Linked DNA regions of Macaca mulatta. The protein of the gene in region 2 purifies or fractionates together with the protein of the main gene of each other region. This does not show direct contact. Links are inferred from orthologs where the notes say so. Each region holds a gene or a part of one and is shown on either strand. Other genes may lie near its edges.

The links.
Region 1: the proteins of JOSD2 (region 2) and AHCYL2 purify together in Homo sapiens (affinity purification with mass spectrometry; 3 studies listed by BioGRID and IntAct, counting the BioPlex papers as one, with this or other methods). This does not show direct contact. The link is inferred for Macaca mulatta from reciprocal best matches to the Homo sapiens genes JOSD2 and AHCYL2.
Region 3: the proteins of JOSD2 (region 2) and AHCYL1 purify together in Homo sapiens (affinity purification with mass spectrometry; 4 studies listed by BioGRID and IntAct, counting the BioPlex papers as one, with this or other methods). This does not show direct contact. The link is inferred for Macaca mulatta from reciprocal best matches to the Homo sapiens genes JOSD2 and AHCYL1.

Annotation. Positions count from the first base shown.
Region 1 is NC_133408.1:169,039,318-169,043,447, reverse strand, and holds part of AHCYL2 (adenosylhomocysteinase 3), read right to left. Parts: intron 3,376-4,130; coding exon 3,273-3,375; intron 39-3,272; coding exon 1-38. UniProt on the Homo sapiens protein: May regulate the electrogenic sodium/bicarbonate cotransporter SLC4A4 activity and Mg(2+)-sensitivity. On the contrary of its homolog AHCYL1, does not regulate ITPR1 sensitivity to inositol 1,4,5-trisphosphate.
Region 2 is NC_133424.1:62,895,950-62,899,089, forward strand, and holds the end of JOSD2 (josephin-2), read right to left. Parts: intron 2,204-3,140; coding exon 2,078-2,203; intron 1,161-2,077; coding exon 966-1,160; intron 861-965; coding exon 761-860; 3' UTR 602-760; downstream 1-601. UniProt on the Homo sapiens protein: Cleaves 'Lys-63'-linked poly-ubiquitin chains, and with lesser efficiency 'Lys-48'-linked poly-ubiquitin chains (in vitro). May act as a deubiquitinating enzyme.
Region 3 is NC_133406.1:130,183,915-130,188,044, forward strand, and holds part of AHCYL1 (S-adenosylhomocysteine hydrolase-like protein 1), read right to left. Parts: intron 3,034-4,130; coding exon 2,890-3,033; intron 1,883-2,889; coding exon 1,782-1,882; intron 1,346-1,781; coding exon 1,243-1,345; intron 1-1,242. UniProt on the Homo sapiens protein: Multifaceted cellular regulator which coordinates several essential cellular functions including regulation of epithelial HCO3(-) and fluid secretion, mRNA processing and DNA replication.

The sequences.
Region 1 (4,130 bases), on a different chromosome or scaffold from region 2:
ATCTTCTGACTCTCCCTTCCAGGCAAAAACAGGAAATCCTGAGAAAAAAAGGAACAAAGAGAAACCATTAAAGACCAAAAGAGGCTGATCGCCAAATTTTAGTGAGAAGATTCTGGTTCCTAATTTCCAACTCTCTCATTCTGCTATAATCCTTGGATTGACATTCTTCACTGATTGGCATTGCCTTCAGCCCCTTTATCCATTCCTTTGTCTTTGATGGTCATTCTGCTCTTATTAGCCCAATGAGGACAAGTAGAATGGACAAAAGTATGACAGCTGTTTAAAATGTAACGAGAGGGGGCCAGGCACAGTGGCTCACTCCTGTAATCCCAGCACTTTGGGAGGCTGAGGTGGGTGGATCACCTGAGATCAGGAGTTCAAGGCCAGCCTGGCCAACATGATGAAACCTGTCTCTACTAAAAATACAAAAATTAGCTGGGTGTGGTGGTGCACGCCTGTCGTCTCAGCTACTGGGGAGGCTAAGGCAGAAGAATGGCTTGAACCTGGGAGTCGGAGGTTGCAGTGAGCCAAGATCGTTGTTATTGCACTCCAGCCTAGGGGACAGGGCAAGACTCTGTCTCCAAAAAAAAAAAAAAAAAAAGTGACTAGTGGGAAAAGAAAAACCAGAAACAGTTACTTCTTGATCCACTCAAACTGGCATTCTCACCATTTCCCAATTACACTTTAATTTTTTTTGCTTCTATACTTTAATCATCCCACCCTATTATTAAGAAAAAAAAAAGTGTTTTTCCACTTGCTAAAACGTTACTATAATTCATAGCCCAGTTAAGTGTCATGTTCCTAACGAAGCCTGATTAACCCAGCTGGAAATGAGCGCTCAAGGAATCTGAACTTTTCTTTTTCTTTTTGAGATGGAGTCTCGCTCTGACACCCAGGCTGGAGTGCAATGGCACCATTTCGGCTCACTGCAACCTCCACCTCCTGGGTTCAGGTGATTCTCCTGCCTCGGCCTCTTGAGTAGCTGGGACTACAGGTGCGTGGCACCACGCCCAGCTAATTTTTGTATTTTTAGTAGAGACGGGGTTTCACCATATTGGCCAGGCTGGTCTCGAACTCCTGACCTCATGATCTGCCCGCCTCAGGCTCCTAAAGTGCTGGGATTACAGGTGTGAGCCACTGCGCCCGGCCTTTTTTTTTTTTTTTGAGATGGAGTCTGGCTCTGTCCCCCAGGCTAGAGTGCAGTGGTGCAATCTCGGCTCACTGCAGCCTCTGCCTCCTGGGTTCAAGCGATTCTCCTGCCTCAGCCTTCTGAGTAGCTGGGATTACAGGTGCCCTCCACTACCCCCGGCTAATTTTTGTACTTTTAGTAGAGACGGAGTTTCACCATGTTGGCCACGCTGCTCTTGAACTCCTGACCTCAGGTGATCCACCTGTCTCGGCCTCCCAAAGTGGGAATCTGAACTTTTCTAAGCCTCTTGTTTGTATAGTGAATATGGATTTATAATCTGTCATGGCATTTATCATATATGTCCTTGTATCATTATTTATATATGTGTATTATCTCCTCACCAAAATATAAGATTCTGAGGGTAAAGACATTGCCTCATTTGCCCTTACAGCTCTTAGAGTAGGTCAGTAAGCATTTGTTTAAAAAAAAGAAATGGGGTTGCTGGGCACAGTGGCTCACGCCTGTAACCCCAGCACTTTGGGAGGCCAAGGCAGGCGGGTCACCTGAGGTCAGGAGTTCGAGACCAGCCTGACTAACATGGTGAAACCCCGTCTCTACTAAAAATACAAAAATTAGCCAGGTGTAGTGGAGGGCACCTGTAATCTCAGCTACTCAGGAGGCTGAGGCAGGGGAGTTGCTTGAACCCGGGAGGCGGAGGTTACAGTGAGCTGAGATCACACCATTGCACTCCAGCCTGTGCGACGGAGTGAGACTCTGTCTCAAAAAAATTAATAAATAAAATAAAAATAATAAAATAATAAAAATTAAAAATAGAAATTAAATTAAGAAATAAAAAAAAATGGGCTGGGCATGGTGGCTCACACCTCTAATCCCAGCACTTTGGGAGGATGAGGCGAGAGGATCACTTGAGGCCGGCTGTTTGAGAGTAGCCTGAGCAACAGAGCAAGACCTTGTGTCTTCAAAAAAATTTTTTAAGTTAGCTGGGCATGGTGGCATGTGCCTAAAGTCCCAGCTACTCAGAAGACTGAGGTGGGAGGATCACCTGTTCCCAGGAATTGAAGGATGCAGGGAAACACTATTGTACTACTGCACTCCAGCCTGGGTGACAGAGCAAGACTCTGTCTCTACTTAAAAAAAAAAGGAAAACGGCCGGGCGCGGTGGCTCAAGCCTGTAATCCCAGCACTTTGGGAGGCCGAGACGGGCGGATCACGAGGTCAGGAGATCGAGACCATCCTGGCTAACAAGGTGAAACCCCGTCTCTACTAAAAAATACAAAAAAATTAGCCGGGCGAGGTGGCGGGTGCCTGTAGTCCCAGCTACTCGGGAGGCTGAGACAGGAGAATGGCCTGAACCCAGGAGGCAGAGCTTGCAGTGAGCTGAGATCCGGCCACTGCACTCCAGCCTGGGCGACAGAGCAAGACTCCATCTCAAAAAAAAAAAAAAAAAAAAAAAAAGGAAAAGAAATGAATGCGTATTCACTGGGGTACACATTTACTATTTGTATTAATAAAGTATTAAATATTTTTCTATCATAGATACAGCCATGAAATCTTATAAATAAGTAAATTAAAATGAAAGAACAAATGAAACGCTGAGCTGTACTGCCAAAGAGTAAAGGCAAGAGGCTGGCAAAGTCCAAATTTCTCTATTTCTTTTGTCCATCAACTACTAGTGGATGCTGTGATCAAATATTAATCTGCCAGGTCAAGTCCTCTTTACTCCTGAAGCAGAAACACCAAACATTAAATCAGGGCAAATTACTTGCTGGAAAACCAATAGGGTCACAAAACTAAGGGTGAAGCATTTTCTCCTGTAATCCATGTTACCTCAATGAGTAGTGTTCACTAGTGCTCTGCTATTAGTAAATCAGTGAGTCAAAACAAAGCATTACCTAATAATGGAATATTAGACAAAGGTAGATATTTGTCAACTGTAAAATGGCAAAGTTAACTAGATCATATTTGACAAGCGAAGGCCAGAAAAAGTAAATTCATCAAGAATTGAGATCTATTTCTTCCAAGATAGTTCTTTTATTGTCAACCTTCTTTAAAGATTTATGCTGAAACAACAGAGCTTTTTGGAGACTTACTTTAGCCAAAGGCACAGAGAACAAGCTCTTACCACTTTCTGCTAGAGCAGCAGCCACTTCATTGAGAGTGGAATAGATGTTGCAGGCAGCCCATCGGCACTGGGCCCCCAGAGCACCTAGAGTTTCCATAAGTACCTGTATTAAAGACAAAGCAGGGGATGAGCAAGCCTGGGCCAAACAACTAGTCAAGGAGATAAAGTTTATATATTTTACAATCAGAAAATACAACAGGAATGACTTAGGCCAGTGATTTTCAAGTTGGGCTCTACAGAACTTCTTCAGTATTCTAAGAAGAAGGCAAGTATTGGGGGAAGCCATGGGAAGAGGGAGGCTCCAGCTGACTCTATGTTTTTACCAATTTAAATTAAGCCTCCCCATAAGATTTAATAAATCAAGGACTTCAGAGCCAAAACTTTTCTTAAAAAACACAGATTTACAGTTCTGCTTCTGTTTAGAATACACAAAGCTACAAGAGAAGCTCCCACCTTAATGACATGAAAAAGCTGGGTAGCTACTAGGAAGGCTGAGGTGGGAGGACTGCTTGAGCATGGGAGATGGAGGCTGTAGTGAGTCGTGACTGTGCCACTGAACTCCAGCCTGGACAATAGAGTGAGACCCTGTCTCCAAAAAACCAAACACATGGCCAGGCATGGTGGCTCATGCCTGTAATCCCACTTTGGGAGGCTGAGGTGGGTCATTACCTGAGGTCAGGAGTTCGAGACCAGCCTGGCCAACATGGTGAACCCTATCTTTACTAAAAATACAGAAAAATTAGCCGGGCATGGTGGCGCACGCCTGTAGTCCCAGCTACTTGGGAGGCTGAGGCAGGACAATGGCTTGAAACGGTGAGACAGAGGTTGCAGTGAGCTAAGATTGTACCACTGCACTCC
Region 2 (3,140 bases):
AGGCACGGTGGCTCACACCTGTAATCCTAGCACTTTGGGAAGCCGAGGCAGGCAGATTGCTTGAGGTCAGGGGTTCAAGACCAGCCTGGGTAACAGAGCAAGATCCCATCTCTACAAAACAATTTAAAGAAAGTAGTCAGGTATGGCACCTGAGGTCCCAGCTACTTGGGAGGCTGAGGTGGGAGGATCACCTGAGCCCAGGAGTTCAAGGCTACAGTGAGCTGTGATTGACCCACTGCAATCCAGCCTGGGTGACAGAGTGAGACACTGTCTCAATCAATCGAATAAAGAAGTAAACACCTGCTTTCTCCTTAGCAAGTACCCCCGTGGAACCCAGATCAAACGCATTCGTTCGCCACTGGTCTCTCTCCAGCACCGGCGGAGCGTGAGCCCCAGGGGCACGGACTTGTACTGTTTTCTGCTGTGTCACTGATGAGGAAGCTGAGGCCCAGCGGTGAGCAACTGGCATGAGGCGGCAGAGAACCAGGAGGACTCCTGGGCTCTCAGCCCCACCCACCAGGGTGTCTGGCCGGTCAGAGAAGTGGGAGTGACTGAGTAGAAGAGGCCCCAGAAGGGCGGGGCAGTCAGACACAGGCCAGGCGGCAGAAAATCAGCAGATTTATTGAGGCAGCAGCGGCAGTGGGGAGCAGGGGTGTGGGGAGGGGGCCGGGCCTCCCCAGGCCTTTCCCAGGCACGCAGTGTGCGCAGTCAGAGGGGGACGCGCAGGGACTGTGCTGTGGGCGCCGACGGTCAGCTGAGATCAGTCTGTCCGAAGCCAGCAGCCCTTCTCCTCCACCTCCTTGGTCACCACCAGCAGCACCTCACACAGGCCCTGGGCCAGCGCAGTCGCCAGGAAGGCCCTGGGTGGGAGAAATGGGGAGACTGAGGCTCAGCCAGCCTGGGCATTCCCTCTGGGGAGTGGGGTTTCAGGCCCCTGGTCTTGGAATCACCTCTGCGGGGCTCACCTGACTCCGTCCTCGTCCCCCAGGGCCTCGGGCGCCCGCAGCTTGGAGTCCAGGTTGTAGTAGATGCCGTCCACCTGGCGCAGGGCCACCCAGTGCCGCCGGCGTAGCGGCAGTGACAGCAGCCCCAGAGACACGGGCGAGGGCAGGTTCAGGATTAGTCCCAGCACCTGGGGCAGGGCCAGCTGGGACAGGGGCCTGTGCGGGCAGGGAGGGGACACCGCCATCAGGGCCTGCTCTGCCCGCCGGTGAAATGTGGCTGACCATGTGGGGCCCAGGCTGGCGGCGGTGGGGGCCTCCTGAACCCACCCAGAGGTATTCCTTAATCAGCCACCCTGGTTCCCAACACTCTCCGTTCACCCGCCCACTCAAACCTCCCACCCATGCAGCCGCCCAACCAGACCTCCCACCCATCCACCCACCATTCACCCAACTCACATCGGCCCTTCACCAACCACCATCACCCTGTCTGTCCAGCCACCCACCCACCAACTTACTCCTCACACAGCCACCCAGGATCCAGGCATGATCCGCCCACCCCACCGGGCCTCCCAGCCACCAGCCAACTTCCCAACAACAATTCACACACTCACCTCCATCTATGCATTCACCTCCCCGCCACCATCACCATCCAACTAGCCATCTACTGTCCACCACCCACCACCCAGCCACCACCCAGCCAGCCATTCACCCAACAGTGGACTCACCATGCCCCCAGTCCTCACCCACTCTTGGCCCACCTGCCATTGGTCTACCCCTCATCCACCAGCCACACACCTGGCCACTGGCCAGCCAGCCATCAAAACCTCCCATTCATCCACCCAACTCCCCAGCCTCCTGTCTGTTGTCCACTGACCATGAACACCCAATCCCCTCACTCCCCCTCACCCAACACATCCAACCACCTACTCAGCATTCACCCGGTAACCATCATCCACCCAGCGTCTCAGCCTGCCGACCGCCTGATCTCCCCCACTAACCCATCAGCACCAGCCTTCCTGCATTCAAGCCAGCCCCCCCCGGCCACATTCCCCTCCCTGACCCCCCAACAGGCTCACACGACAGGGTGCCCTCTGTGCCCGGCCCAGGATGTGCTGTGCGGCTCTGGGGCCTACCTCCTCCTGTCCCACCACACAGCGGCCAGGCCCAGCCCCTGCAGAGCGGCCATGATCACGTTGACGTCATAGTTGCCGGTGCCCAGGAGGCTGCGATGAGGGTTCAGCCGGGAGTCTGGGGCCAACCTGGTAGTGGGGGTGGCCAGAGTTGAGCTGGGGACCCGTGGAAAGGCCGCCCCACAAAATGGGGGTGCCAGGGGCCACAAGTTGCCTCAGCCTTTGACTCTCCCCGCTTCAGACCCCACAACTCATCCACCCTCAAGTCCTGTCTCTCCTGCCCCAACTCTGCCCTGTCCCCAAGGCCCCAGTTGGGCTCTGTCTTCTCCCCCAGCCTCCCTCCAGTCCATTCCCACGTGGCCCTGGCTCTCCCCTGCTCACAGCTCTCCCATAGCTCCCCAGCGCCCTGGACAAAGTCCTTGTCCCTCCGCCAGTCCCTTCCTCTGTCCTTGAAGACCTGCCTCAGATGTCAGATCCTCTGAGAGGAGGCTCCTGACCTTCAGGTTGGGTCGGGGCCCTGTCTGGGCTCCCCCAGTGAACTGAGCTACCTCAACGATGACAGCTGCCCGCATCACCCTCATTTAACACTGCTTGCTTCTCCCATGGGGTTGCCCTCACCCCTGCCCTGCTCACAGCCCACTCTGCTTCCTCATTTCCCCCAGGACAGAGTCCCACAAGGCCCTGCGTGGTCTGGCCCTGGTGGCTTCACCTCAGAGCCTCAGCACCCTCCTTCCTGGCCCCCTGGCCCCAGCCACATCCCCGGTGCCCACCACCCCCCGCCCCACCCCTGCCAACCTTTCCTCCAGCTCTTCCCCTGCCCAGGAAGGCTCTTCCGCCTGCCACCACTTGTCTCTGGGCCCTGCCTCTGAACAGCTGCACCTCTGCTCCCTATCTGGGCCCTGGGCAGGCAGGGCATGGGAGGAAAAGGCTTGTGTGTGTGTGTGTTTCCCTCGCCACCCTCAGGCTGGCACTTGAGTCTGAGTCATCTCAGGGTCTCCAACATGGCTTTGGTATGAAAGAGCTGGTGGGTCCTTGTTCTGAACGATCGAGGGATGAATAAATACCA
Region 3 (4,130 bases), on a different chromosome or scaffold from region 2:
TAAACACTTATCAGAAAAGAATAAACAAAAAACCCCAAAAGTATTATAAAGTTACTTTCTGAGGTTCTTAGAAAGATGAGAGGTCTGGCTGGGTGCAGTCTCACGCCTGTAATCCCAGCACTTTGGGAGGCCAAGGCAGGCAGATCAAACATCCAGGCTGGTCAGGAGTTCGAGACTAGCCTGGCCAACATGGTGAAACCCCATCTCTACTACAAATACAAAAATTAGCTGGGTGTGGTGGCGTGCATCTGCAATCCCAGCTACTCAGGAGGCTGAGGCACGATAATCACTTGAATCCAGGAGGCAGGGGTTGCAGTTAGCCGAGACTGCACCATTGCACTCCAGCCTGGGCAACAGAGTAAGGCTCCATCTTGATAAAGAGAAAGAGAAAGAGAAAGAAAGAGAAAGAGAAAGAGAAGAGAAGGGAAGAGAGAAAGATGAGAGGTCCTCAAAGAAACTTCATGGTGATTTTCTTCTGAACATTTGAATAATAAAAATTATTATTATTATTGTTATTAATTTTTGAGATGGAGTTTCACTCTGTCGCCCAGGCTGCAGTGCAGTGGCATGATCTCGGATCACTGCAGTCTCTGCCTCCCGGGTTCAAGTGATTCTCCTACCTCAGCCTCCGGAGTAGCTGAAATTACAGGCGCACACCACCACTCCCGGCTAACTTTTGTATTTTTAGTAGAGGTGGGGTTTTACCATGTTGGCCAGGCTGGTCTTGAACTCCTGGCCTCAAGTGATCTGCCCGCCTCGGCCTCCCAAAGTGCTGGGATTATAGGCATGGGCCACCAGGCCTGGCCTGAATAATAAAAAATTATTTTGTTTAATTAAACTCATGAATAGCTCATATATTTTCAATGCCATACTGAATACCAAATTATTTAATGCACTATCAATATAAAAGGCACTTCCTACTTGTGCTCTCTCACAAAACTGATAGCACGTATATAGTTTAACATTCTTCCTCGTTCAACTAACACCAGAACTGTGCATGTCCCCATGCCATTAGATTATTTTCAAAGGTCATTTTTAATGACTACATAATATTCCATCATGGATATACATCTTAATTTTATTATCCACATTCTTCCTGTTGAGGTTTTCACCATCCCCAATTTTACAGCCTCTAGACATATATGACATTGTAATGACAATTTTGATACATAAAAGTTATATGTTTGGATAACTATTTTGGGGCAAATTTGGTAAAAAAAAAAAAAAAAATACTGAACTTACCAGCTTCAGCCAGTGCTGCAGCTACTTCATTCTGAGTTGAGTAGATGTTACAAGCAGACCAGCGGCACTGAGCCCCCAGAGCACAGAGTGTCTCAATCAACACCTGTGTAGAGGTATAGGAAGACAGGGTGAGGAAGAGAAGGGCCACCCAGGAATGGAGAGCAAGCCTCAGCAAGATAACAATACCTATCAACTCTGCACCAACAGGCGCTACACTGGGAAGTTAGAAAGGGGTGTACTCCAGCGAGGTGGTGCACTGGTGTTTAACTTTACATAAAACGTAGGTTTCTAAAAGTCTTAATAACATTTTATAACAATCATATGTTTGCAAATCTAGACTTTCCTAGGTCAAGTTTGCTGAAAGTGGGTTTACACATACAAAAAACCCCCAGAAAACCCCACTATTGTGTAGCAGGGAGATCCTACTAATAGTTAGCATTTGGAGGTTGGTGAGTTAGGAAGGAAAAGTGAAACAAAAAAAAACATTGATTTCTTTCTTCCCCTTATCAGAAGTCCCTCTTTTCTTCCAACAAACTCACCGCTGTCTGGGCTGTGATGTGTGTACAGCCCACTATTTTAGCACCAGCCAAGGGCTTCTCCCCCTGAGCACGTTTCCTGAGTGAAATCAGAGCAGACATGTCTGTGAAAGAACAGAGGATTTGAGCTAGGTCTGCACTAGCAGTATCATCAGTTCCTGCCCCAGGGCTGGTCTGGATCTGTTGAGATACGGTGAGATGAGACAGAAAAACTTTAAGCCTATTTTCATGATGACTGGCAGCTTCAACAGCACAGTAATAGTGGAGAGCGGTCATGCAACCACTTGGAGTTTCTCTCTTCCTCTACTGCTTCAGCTTTATACACAGAGGACTGAACAGAGAATGAAGTAAATCCTTAAAACTGATCAAAATGAAGGGTAAATCTCATCATTCATTTGGGAAGAGAGGAAAGTAGTTAAGGCACTGGCTAACAGATCCCTATATATAAAATCATCAGACCAGAAAGACTGTACCCTCAGCTGAAATCACTAACTTCTGTTTTTCTATGCTGTCTTACCGTATCCTGTCAGTCTGTTTGGTTTCTCTATTCTCTTTCAGTAAAGAACATGCCTTCAATGTGTAAACAACACAAGAGTAAAGAGGACCTTACTGGGAGTGGTTGGGGTAGGGAAACCAAGATTCAACTGTTTGTCAGTCACTTTTACTCTGCTCCAGCAGAGGGTGCTCAGGACCAAACAAGACGCTAGGTCACCACATCCTTAGCTTAAAACCCTTCCTCATCAGCTGTCTCTGGGCAATCTGGGTCTCTGGCATTGGCAGCTATAGTAAGATCCCATATAACCAACTACCAAGTAGTGATCTAGGACTTGCCAATTCTGCCATGTAGATCTTTGAATACGGTGGTGGGGTGGGGCGGGGAGGAAAACAGAAACTACTCTGTGTGTCATCACCACATGCTGAGAACAGAAGGAAGAGAGAACAAGAATCCTGAGACTCAAGTTCCATAGAGAGAGAAGTGTGTATCCGGAAGTCCATAATACTTTCTTCCCAGTATACTTTCAAGTCAGCTTTCAAGTCTTAAGTTGTTTGTGGATTCTGATGGCCAACAAGAGGGTCGTTTCTCGTCCCCTAAACCACTCCCTTTCTTTACCTTGCTCTGCAATCTCAATCTCCCGGCGTCCAAATTCGGCCTGCTTGATGTTCTTCACACAGAAATTGCTGCTGCCCTTGGAGTTGGTTTGCTGCTTCTCTCGGGGAGAAACCTCATCATCAGAGCTATCTGTGTAAGATGCAGCTAGAGCCAGGAAAGAAAAAAACAAGGATAGAAAAACCTCAGTGGCCCCAACTCTACAGAGTGCAGTCCCCAAGGGACTTTCATTTAAGTCAAGGGAACACTCTTAATTGGAGTTACCTTTTATAACCCTCTCACTTCTGCTCCTCTAGGCTCTAATTGGTGGTATGAATGAAAATGTTGTGGATGCTTCCGTGTTGCAGCTCTTTCACCCACCCTAACAATATTATGCCATTAGTGCCTGTGATAAGGGACTACTGATTCTAAACCTGTACCAGCTATAGTAATCCCAGATAATAGAGGTACCTGGTCCCATCTGGATTGGAACTAGACCTGGCAAAAACAGAAGAACAATTTAGGGCAGATAAGGAACGGTATTTCTGTAGATTACTGGTTCTCAAATTCAAGCATCTGTCAGGATCACATGGAAGGTTTGTTAAAACATATATTGCTAGACCCCATGGCCAGTTTCCCATTTGGCAGGTATGGGGTGGCACCTAAGAAGTAGTATTTCTAACAAGTTACCAGGTGTTGCTGATGCTGCTAGTCAGAGGACCATGCTTTAAGAACCATGGATATAGACAAAAGTGATTAGATAGTCTTACAAGGGATTTTACACTAAGTTGTGCTCAAGGAATAGAGAAAGAAATAAATGGCACAAAAGGCAAGCAGCTCTGGTTCTATTGATAGCCCTGGGAAAGTCTGTCAAAATGACCAACTTAAAAAGCGGTTTCACATAAAAGCCAAAAATACCACTTATCCGACAGATATGCATGAGGATATACAACAATCATTCCTTACCTCTCAAATCACTTTTTTCCTCTCTGAATTGAGTATTTTCCTCATCACAGTTTCTAGTATATCTGGACTCTCTCATGGACTGACTTCTATGTACAGGTCCTCCTCCGGTCCAGCTAACACAAATACTACTAAAGCTTATCTTCCCCACGATGACAATTTAACCATATCACTAAGCTTTTTAAAAGGCTCTAATACATTTCTGTAACATGGCCATCAAGATCTTTGAAGACTTTTTAAAAGCCTTCTTCAGTCGTTTTATCGTTCTTCCTCTCTTCCTCTCATAACTCAATTTTTCACAA